Linked DNA regions of Danio rerio. The protein of the gene in region 2 purifies or fractionates together with the protein of the main gene of each other region. This does not show direct contact. Links are inferred from orthologs where the notes say so. Each region holds a gene or a part of one and is shown on either strand. Other genes may lie near its edges. The genes, in order: cdk8 and med16.

What was found.
Region 1: the proteins of med16 (region 2) and cdk8 purify together in Homo sapiens (affinity purification with mass spectrometry; 10 studies listed by BioGRID and IntAct, counting the BioPlex papers as one, with this or other methods). This does not show direct contact. The link is inferred for Danio rerio from reciprocal best matches to the Homo sapiens genes MED16 and CDK8.

Annotation. Positions count from the first base shown.
Region 1 is NC_133199.1:25,393,380-25,397,810, reverse strand, and holds the start of cdk8 (cyclin-dependent kinase 8), read right to left. Parts: upstream 2,933-4,431; 5' UTR 2,608-2,932; coding exon 2,480-2,607; intron 1-2,479.
Region 2 is NC_133186.1:14,600,094-14,604,701, reverse strand, and holds the start of med16 (mediator of RNA polymerase II transcription subunit 16), read right to left. Parts: upstream 3,010-4,608; 5' UTR 2,728-3,009; coding exon 2,586-2,727; coding exon of another isoform or gene 2,544-2,585; intron 2,407-2,543; coding exon 2,299-2,406; intron 1-2,298. UniProt on the Homo sapiens protein: Component of the Mediator complex, a coactivator involved in the regulated transcription of nearly all RNA polymerase II-dependent genes.

The DNA.
Region 1 (4,431 bases), on a different chromosome or scaffold from region 2:
TTATATGCTGCCTCCTTAATTTATTCTCTTAGGTAAGGACCAAATTTAGAGGGAAAATGTGCTTTATGCAATATAAATCTTGAAGCATCAGAATTGGTTCACTGTAATGGCTGCAAAAATCCTGATAGAAGCATCCCTGGAAGTCAATAATTGATTTGAATTATTTACCCTGATTTGTTTACTGCTCATAAATCTTGTAAATGTTTCCCAAATTAAAATATATTGTGTTCAAAGGGGAAAAAAGTTTTTAGCCAGACATTTAAAAATAATATATTTAGAGCAGTAATCACAATACTTTTAAACTGTGCTATTTTTATACAAGTTTATCATACATCAGAAAAATATACTGACCCATGCCTAGAACGTAGACACTTATAATCAATAGTACGAAAAAAATCTATTGGTTTCCAACATGTTTCAAAATATCTTCTTTTTGTGTGCAACTGAAAAAAAATGTTTCTAACAAGTAAAGGTTGAGTAAACGATGGCAGAATTTTATTTTAGGAACTATCACCTACTTCATTTTAGTGAAACATGACCTTATTTCGAATTCTCTGCATGACAAACACAATGATGCAACATTTTATCTACATAAAACAGGGGTTACCAAACTTTTCAGCCAGCGTCCCCCAAAATAACAAAGCCTGCAACATTGAGGTCAAGTAGGTTTTATATTCGCACATTCTGACTTCTCCTTAATATTATAATTTTACAAAAATATTCTTTGCAAAATCTAAATGGTAATATCATATTAGCAGCCAAAGACTATCAAGAAACAACATTGTTCAAAGTCATATAAATAGTGCTAATGTTGTTTTCAAGTAATAATTGCATGTGATTTCAGACCGAATATTAAAATTTTGATGGTAAACACTATAGGGAGCATGTCACAACAAGTTGACACTTTCCCTCAATGCTCATGATCCCCAGATTCATCGGAGGTGGTTATAAATATACAAACGTTGTACACACAACAATAGGCCTTGTTAAACACGAGCATATTGACAACACAAAAAACTGCAACAGTCTAACAACCATAGGCTATAATTTATATGGTCATTTATGAATGTGTTTAATACTAACCTCACCTAATGAGACCGGTGTTTTTAAGCACAAGTCTGTTCTTGGTTTAATTTTGGAGACCAGCCTGTCAGTAGCCTGTATATATTTTAATGTATTCAATTGCCACAAAATTGTCAGAGTCAGAGATATGTCAAGATCAAGGTGGTGATATGAAATCAATCTGCTGCAGCTGATGCTATTACTGTTGTGTTCATCTAAAATAAACGCACCAATCCAACAAGAAAAAATTAAAAGGCTGATGGCTTTTTATTTGCATGTTGTTGCTTTTTTATGTAACAATAACCTACTATTTTTATCTTCTGTGGGTTATGGTTAATTACGGTAATTCTAATAGAAGGTTTCACCAAGTTAAATTGTAGACTTTAAGACATTTTTAAGACCATTATGAATGAAATTTTCTCTAGCCCTATCAAAAATGATGAAAATTGTATACATTTAAACATACAATAATAATAATTGTGTTTTATTATTTTTGTATTAATTGTCAAATCTATCCATTCACAAACCCTATAACCCTTACCAAGAACAGAACAAAACATAGCTGTCAATTACTTCAGTCTATAGTAATAAATAATAATAGAAATATGTAGGCCAGGTCAGTATCCTCAGCAGTAAATAAATGGAGAACTTTTAATCAAATGTATGTTACTGTAAAGAAAGTAATTAAATGCTATTTTTAAATTAAAAGTTTACGTTTAATTGATGTGGATTGTTGGTGATTGCATTGATGTTAATGGCTAGATCGGTTAACTATACATGAACAAAGAAAATTAAGACCTGTTAAAATAGATTTGAGACCTACAAAACACAACATTTCAGTAGATTTAAGACTGTTTAGGGGCTAAAATTTTGCTTTTGACAATTAAGACTTTGCGGATATCCTGTAAGAGTTTAATAAATTTATTTGACTTTTGGAAATCCGCAAGCGACACCCTGTCATTGTCCGGCGAACCCCACTTTGAGAACCACTGACATAAAACATGCATCAACATCAGAGCCACTAATACCAGGAGTCAATCTGTAGCAGAAATGCTCCATTGAGGCTTCGGGTTTACCGGTGTAAACAAGCCTTCGTAAAAAGTATCTTCGTCTTCATCATCACGAAGAAAAAACCCACAAATCAGCCGCACCTGTTCCCATCACAACAGCACAGCCTCGTCAATCACAACACTTGTGCCTGCTGCTGCTGACGTACATCCACAATCCCTTCAAAATAAGCCTGCGTTTAAACCGTGAACCCTGCATATCAATCTCACATCAGCTGCCGTGTCTCTCTAAAACCCCGAACCAATGGGCAAAAGCGCTCGGTGTGTTTTGGTTGTGTTTCAGAGGTCAAAAACGCGACGGGAGCGCAGGCCTCATATCGCTGCATTTAAGTCCGTCGTGCAAAACTCACCCATCTTTCCTCTTCGCTTTGTACACATGGCCATAAGTCCCCCGTCCAACTTTACATCCTTCGTACTCAAAGAGGTCCTCGACTCGTTCTCTCTCCCCGGTGAGCTTCACTTTGAAGTCATAGTCCATTTTCGGCGTGATTCTGGGGATCCGGGCTGTGGCTTCCCTTTAAAGCGCCGCTGGGGAGGCAACTTACTTCAAGCCCCGTTTAGACAATTAGTTGCCTTCCCTCGCGTCGCTCTGAGCTCGATTAAAGAGTCCTCATTTACCGCGAGCGATCACGGGCGGCTGAAACGACGTGTAGAGCGAGTGTGCTTTTGATCCGACACAAAGTGCAGAGTGTTATTGGACTAACAGTCGCTTTCTTTGATATTTCTGTGCAACTGCGCCGCTCAGCCGGTATCTCACCCGGGAGAGTTGAGCGTCCACGTACGGCAGTGTCGCAAAGCGTCGTGAAACCGTTCCCAAGCCCACAGACGTCGAGGCTTTGTGGCGCACCACGTGGATTTTAACCCTTTGTTTAGGAATGGATTTGTTTTTCAGTTTTATAGCATGTTTTGCATTTTAACCCTCTATGGCATGATTTTTAGTTTTAGGAGGGAAAAATGGTTTACCCTTATTTTTGGGTGCTTGGGGTCCCTTGTAATAAATCAATCATAAAATGTGCCCCCCTACATTTGTTTTGCATGTTCTCCCCATGTTTATGTGGGTTTCCTCCAGGTGCTCCAGCTTCCCCAACAGTCTGAATACATGCACTATAGTTGAATTGAAAAAGCTAAATTGGCCGTAGTATAAGTGTATGAATGCATGAGTATATGGGTTTTTCCCGGTGTTGAGTTGCGGCTGGAAGAGCGTCTGCTATGTAAAACATATGCTGGATAAGTTGTTGGTTCATTCCACTGTGGCGACCCCTGAATAATAAAGGTTCAAATTAATTAATAAAAAAATTATTTAATAAATCTCAACAAGTAATATTTCATCAATATCTAGCCATAAATGGTGTAATGTGTGTTCTTGTGGGGTACTGATTGAATGTACTTATTTACCAATGTTTATTATTCACTGTGGAACCTTAGTGCAGTGGTTGGTGCATGTGAAGCAAAGGGGACATAAGAGTGACAATAAGAGTGTCTTATAGACTATTTGAAAACAGCATAATTAAACAATTAAAAATTTCCCTAAGCTGATTTATCATATAGTAATTATAATGTAAACTGCCTCACCATAATCAATATAACAAATATTGAAAAAAACATATTGCAAGTAACTTTTAAAAATCATGTTTAATTGCAAAGGTAGATATAAACATCATTGCAAATAAAACGCACCCTCAATCAAAAACGTACTGTTTAAAAAATTACATAAAAATGGTAAAATAATGATTAAATTTTTCTGCATTAGGAGTGAAATTATCTTTGTGATCCAAACCATGAATATATGCAGAAAGAACCTAATAATAAGTTTAATAATACTGATATTACTATACTACTACTTACTAATAATTTAAAGAATAATAATAGCTTAATACTAATTTGCAAAAAAGGCTAAAAGGCATTTCCAAACATCAAATCATCAGTTGAGATGAAATTATCTTTGTGATGCAAACCCTAAATATATTTAGAAAGAACCTAATAATAACTTTATTATTACTGATGCTACCACTACTACTAGTAGTAATCTTAATAATAATAGCTAAATACTAATTTGAAAAAAGTCTAAAAGGCATTCCAAACATCAAATCAATGAGTGTGATACAGCTTTAAATTGTATTTTTGTACAGCAGAATGTGTCATGTTTAACTATATTTCTTTTGAGCAAAAACAAAACAATAAAAGCGATGACTATTATTTATACTTAGTCTATCATGATTTACAGAAGACACACACTAAAACGTAACTCGTTGTATAATAGTTTATATACACATACTGTATATTGGCAGGCATATTTACAGCA
Region 2 (4,608 bases):
AACTACTATTTAATTTAAAACAAAGCAATTGACGTGTCTATTTTGTGTCCGACACATTTAATATTGCATTTTAAAATACTGATTTATTTTAACATGCAAACATAATAACAACCGCATTTAATTAATGCTCCGCTACATTTTTTAGCAATCAGCATCAGTGCTGCTTTGGCATCGACTTGTCTGTGTCAAACTGTGACCAGCATCATCCTTCTTTCATTTTGCTTTTTTGGCAAAATATGTCTGTGGGCACATGTAGTTGCACATGTTACTGTCTCACGAATAAGCAAATATGTGTTGCACATTTATGCAGCCAAACTTAAATAAAATAAAAACAATACATTTTTAATCATTTAACTGATACCAATAATAGATTAAAATGCACCTTTTAAGACAGGGATGCCCAAACTCTATCCTGGAGGGCCGGTGTCCTGCAAAGTTTAGTTCCAACCCAATCAGACACACCTGGGCTATCTAATCAAGCTTTTTAAAGGCTTTCTATAAACATCTATGCAGGTGTGTTGAGGCAAGTTGGAGCTAAAATCTAGTGGTGGGCAAAGCGAGGCTTCATGAAACACTGAAACAAACAGTCGAAGCAAATGTGTCGAAGCTTCGAAATGTTTTGAAACCCCACTCTACGGTGACCACCTAGTGGTCATTTTTATGTATTGCACTGAAACAGCTTCAGCAAGAACATTTTAGCAAATTGAGGTATTACACCCCACTTTGTAAAAGTATCTATTCAAGAGATTTAGTGGAGCGGTTAAGGTTTCTGACTTCCATGTGGGGATATTGAGTTTGAATCCAGGCTGATACGGCTTTTTTGAAATGCTTTAATACCAGTTGGTAATGCTTTGTTCTTGTTTCGTTTTGTTTCAACATTGGTCTGACATCCGAATAAACACTTTGTAAATAAATATGTCTTGTTTTGGTATTAAAACAGAGTTGTTGCTAGATCAGACACAGTTGTGGCCAGAAGGTATCAAGAATTATTTATATTATTTATTAAATTTCCCATTTATTGTATTTCATTAACGTCTATCCAAACCCTAAACCCAACCATCACAGTACTGTAAAAATATTTATTATTGTTTTAGTGTTACAAAAATGATGCTATATTGATGGCGTATCCTCAGCTTTAATCTATTTAGGCTACACCATAAAACAGAAACATGATTAAAATACATAAAACCATGATTTAGGTGTATTTGTACAAGTCGGGATTCAAACCCAAAAGTCATTGGAAGTATAAAAACAGCGTGTACAGGCACAGTCCACCAGGCCATATGAGACAGATTTTGAAACTGACGCCGGCAGTTACATCCAGATTCGCAAGGTCTCGAAACACTTCTTAACTGATTGTTGCTTTGAATCATTTTAGTCACGTGTCCAGGTGTTTTGAAACACTTTAGTCACGTGAATTGGGTGTTTCGGATCATGCTTCGGTGCAGTGTTTCGAAACACTTGTGCTTCGGGATCTCGAAACTGTGTCGAAACGTCAGTTTCACGTCAGCCATCCCTACTAAAATCTGCAGGACACCGGCTCTCCAGAACTGAGTTTGGGCACCCCTGCTTTAAGTTAACGGGTTAATCAGTTATTAGGAGTATCCCTAAAACTGATTTTATAAACAACTTAATTAATAAATGTTTTATGAATATTAAATAAAAATGAATATACCTTTTTTATTATTATTTTTCTTCATACTTTGATTTGGCTTTTTTGCTTCATATTAAATTTAGCAATTGTATTATTTGCACTACTGTTTTCATTTGTTATAATATAAAGTATAATTTTTTTATTTGCCTTTTTGATTTACTTTTATTTTAATAAATTATATATATTTTTTCTGTTCTGTTACTTGCTAAAGCAACATTTGTAATTTTCATTTAATACAAGTTTTTTCTTTATTATCAGATTTTTTAAATAGTTTTAGTATTTGATAATGGTAAAAACCCTGATTTGGAAAAGTATTTAGGTTTTACATTGAAACGCGTCTCTCTTCAAATGTTTTTAACACTCTAAAATGATTCAAATGTCAATTATAAAATAATTATATTATTACAAAAAATCTATAATAAAAATAAATATTATATTAGATTTTATTATTCTGTATCTAATCTGTACTGATTTAAGACCATCGCAGTACATTAATCGAGTAAAATTAGGCTTACCCTTACAATACTGAGACTACCCACCTAAAATAAATGGAAACTTTACTTCTAAAAAAAACTTGTCAAATATGATCTGCACATATTGCCAAATGTTTAGCCCATTTCATCTTTATCATCATGATGACTGACCAGACTGATCCCATTCTAGGCAGGAAATTATCTCATTGTGACCAGAATTGATGGAGTACACATCCCAGGGGTGATCAGTGTCAATGATGTGTATCATATGACTGAGATCTGCAACAGAAAAAAAAAACATGATTGTTGTTGCTGATATAATGCTTGATCATAAATAAACACCATTGTTCTATGTATTTTGGATCCAAAACGAATTGAAAATGTATGTTGTTTCTTGTCCTCCATTCATAACTCACCAACAGGAGTGGTAATATTGGTAATAAAGGCATTGTCCAGACCTTTGTCATCCTCCTCATTCTTCAGGTCAGTGGTGAAAGCGATGAGGTTTCTACATGACCAGGCGCACACCAGAGGGATTGAAGGACAGTGGTTGCTCTTGGGTCTCTTCTCCCACTCGCAAACATATGCGATATCCATCATATAATGAAGGAAACTTACTGTTTACAGCACAGATGCCCCAAATGAACACCTTTGAATGTGTTCACAATCACTACGGGAGACAACAAAAGCAAACACCGCTACTGTACAGAAACAGAAGAAAATGATGGGTATGGCAGACTCAAAACTACATGCTCCTGCTAATAAGTCCGAACATAAATTAATTTGTTAATAATATAAATTGTTCTGGCGTTTCAAATCTATTCTAATTCAGCAAATAGCACTTTGAAGCTGCACATCACATCATTGAGCGCCTGTATTCGTCGACTCTTTCCGGATTCAAAGACTCATCTAATACTTACCACCCCCTATTGGGCTGGAGCTCCGATCTATTTCTGTATTTGTCTATCTACGTTACTTTTGAAGCATAAAAGCGTTAACAAAAATGTTTACTCATGCATGGTTATGCATTATTTATTAACAAAAGGCTTTTTTGTTCCTATGCTTTTATGTATGTATGTATGTATGTATGTATGTATGTATGTATGTATGTATGTATGTATGTATGTATGTATGTATGTATGTATCTATGTATGTATGTATGTATGTATGTATGTACGCTATTTATATATTATTTTTCTCTTTTTTTATATAAACGTTTTATTTTTGTTTATACATTTTTATAATTTAATTTATATGTTTAAGTTAACCTTTTAAGTCTCTCTCTCTGTGTGTGTGTGTGTGTGTATGTGTGTGTGTGTGTGTGTGCGTGCGTGCGTGCGTGCGTGCGTGCGTGTGTGTGTGTGTGTGTGTGTCTCAGAAAGGGTTTGACGTACAGAGCTAATAATGTGCCAAAACAATCACAATTTGAATTGTATTCATTTGAATTATTAACAATTTTAATTTTAAAAATCAGATTTTTTTATGACATTAAAAATCTTTTAAATTTGATTTTCTTCATTTGAATTTGAATTTCATAACTTGAGTATTGAACATCTGAAATGCAAGAACTTTTCAAGCCTGATTTGTTTGTGTTCTGAGTTCATAGACTGTAGATATTAAGTTTGTGAAAATACAGTTTCAAATTTTCAAGATGAAGAAATTTAGAACATCCAAATCAATATCATAAAATTCAAAACCAGAAATTCAGATTGTGAAATTCAGGGCTGGAAATATATATATATATATATATATATATATATATATATATATATATATATATATATATATATATATATATATATATATATATATATCTATATATATATATATATATATATATATATATATATATATATATATATATATATATATATATATATATATATATGGTCTAAATAACGAATGTGAATGAACAATTCAGTGACAAAGAGAGATTTAGCGCCACCCATTGGACATTTTGATTTCAATGCATTTCAGTCAAAAAATAGCCTACTGTAATATTTTAACACAAAAAATCAAACGTTTGAGAATATGTCTATAAAAAATTCCGCCTTGAAAAATTCAGTTGTCTTACATTTCAATATTCAAGTTAGAAAATTCAAACTAAGAAATTCAAAACAATTTTTAACGGCATATAAAAATTCAGATTTATTAAATTACAATTGTCTAATTCAAATTAACACAATTCAAATTTAGATTGTTTTGCTTATTATTATTTCCATAATACGCACATCAAATGAAAACATGGCAATATTTACAGCTAACAGCTTATCATTTTTCAGTAAAGCAACTCATTCATTCATTTTCTTTTCAGCTTAGTCCCTTTATTAATATGGTGTTTGCCACAGCGGAATGAACCGCCAACTCATTCAGCATATGTTTTACGCAGCGGATGCCCTTCCAGCCGCAACCCATCCCTGGGAAAGTAAAGCTTAAATTCTGATTCAAAATCACAAATAATGACTTGAGGCGACATGGTGG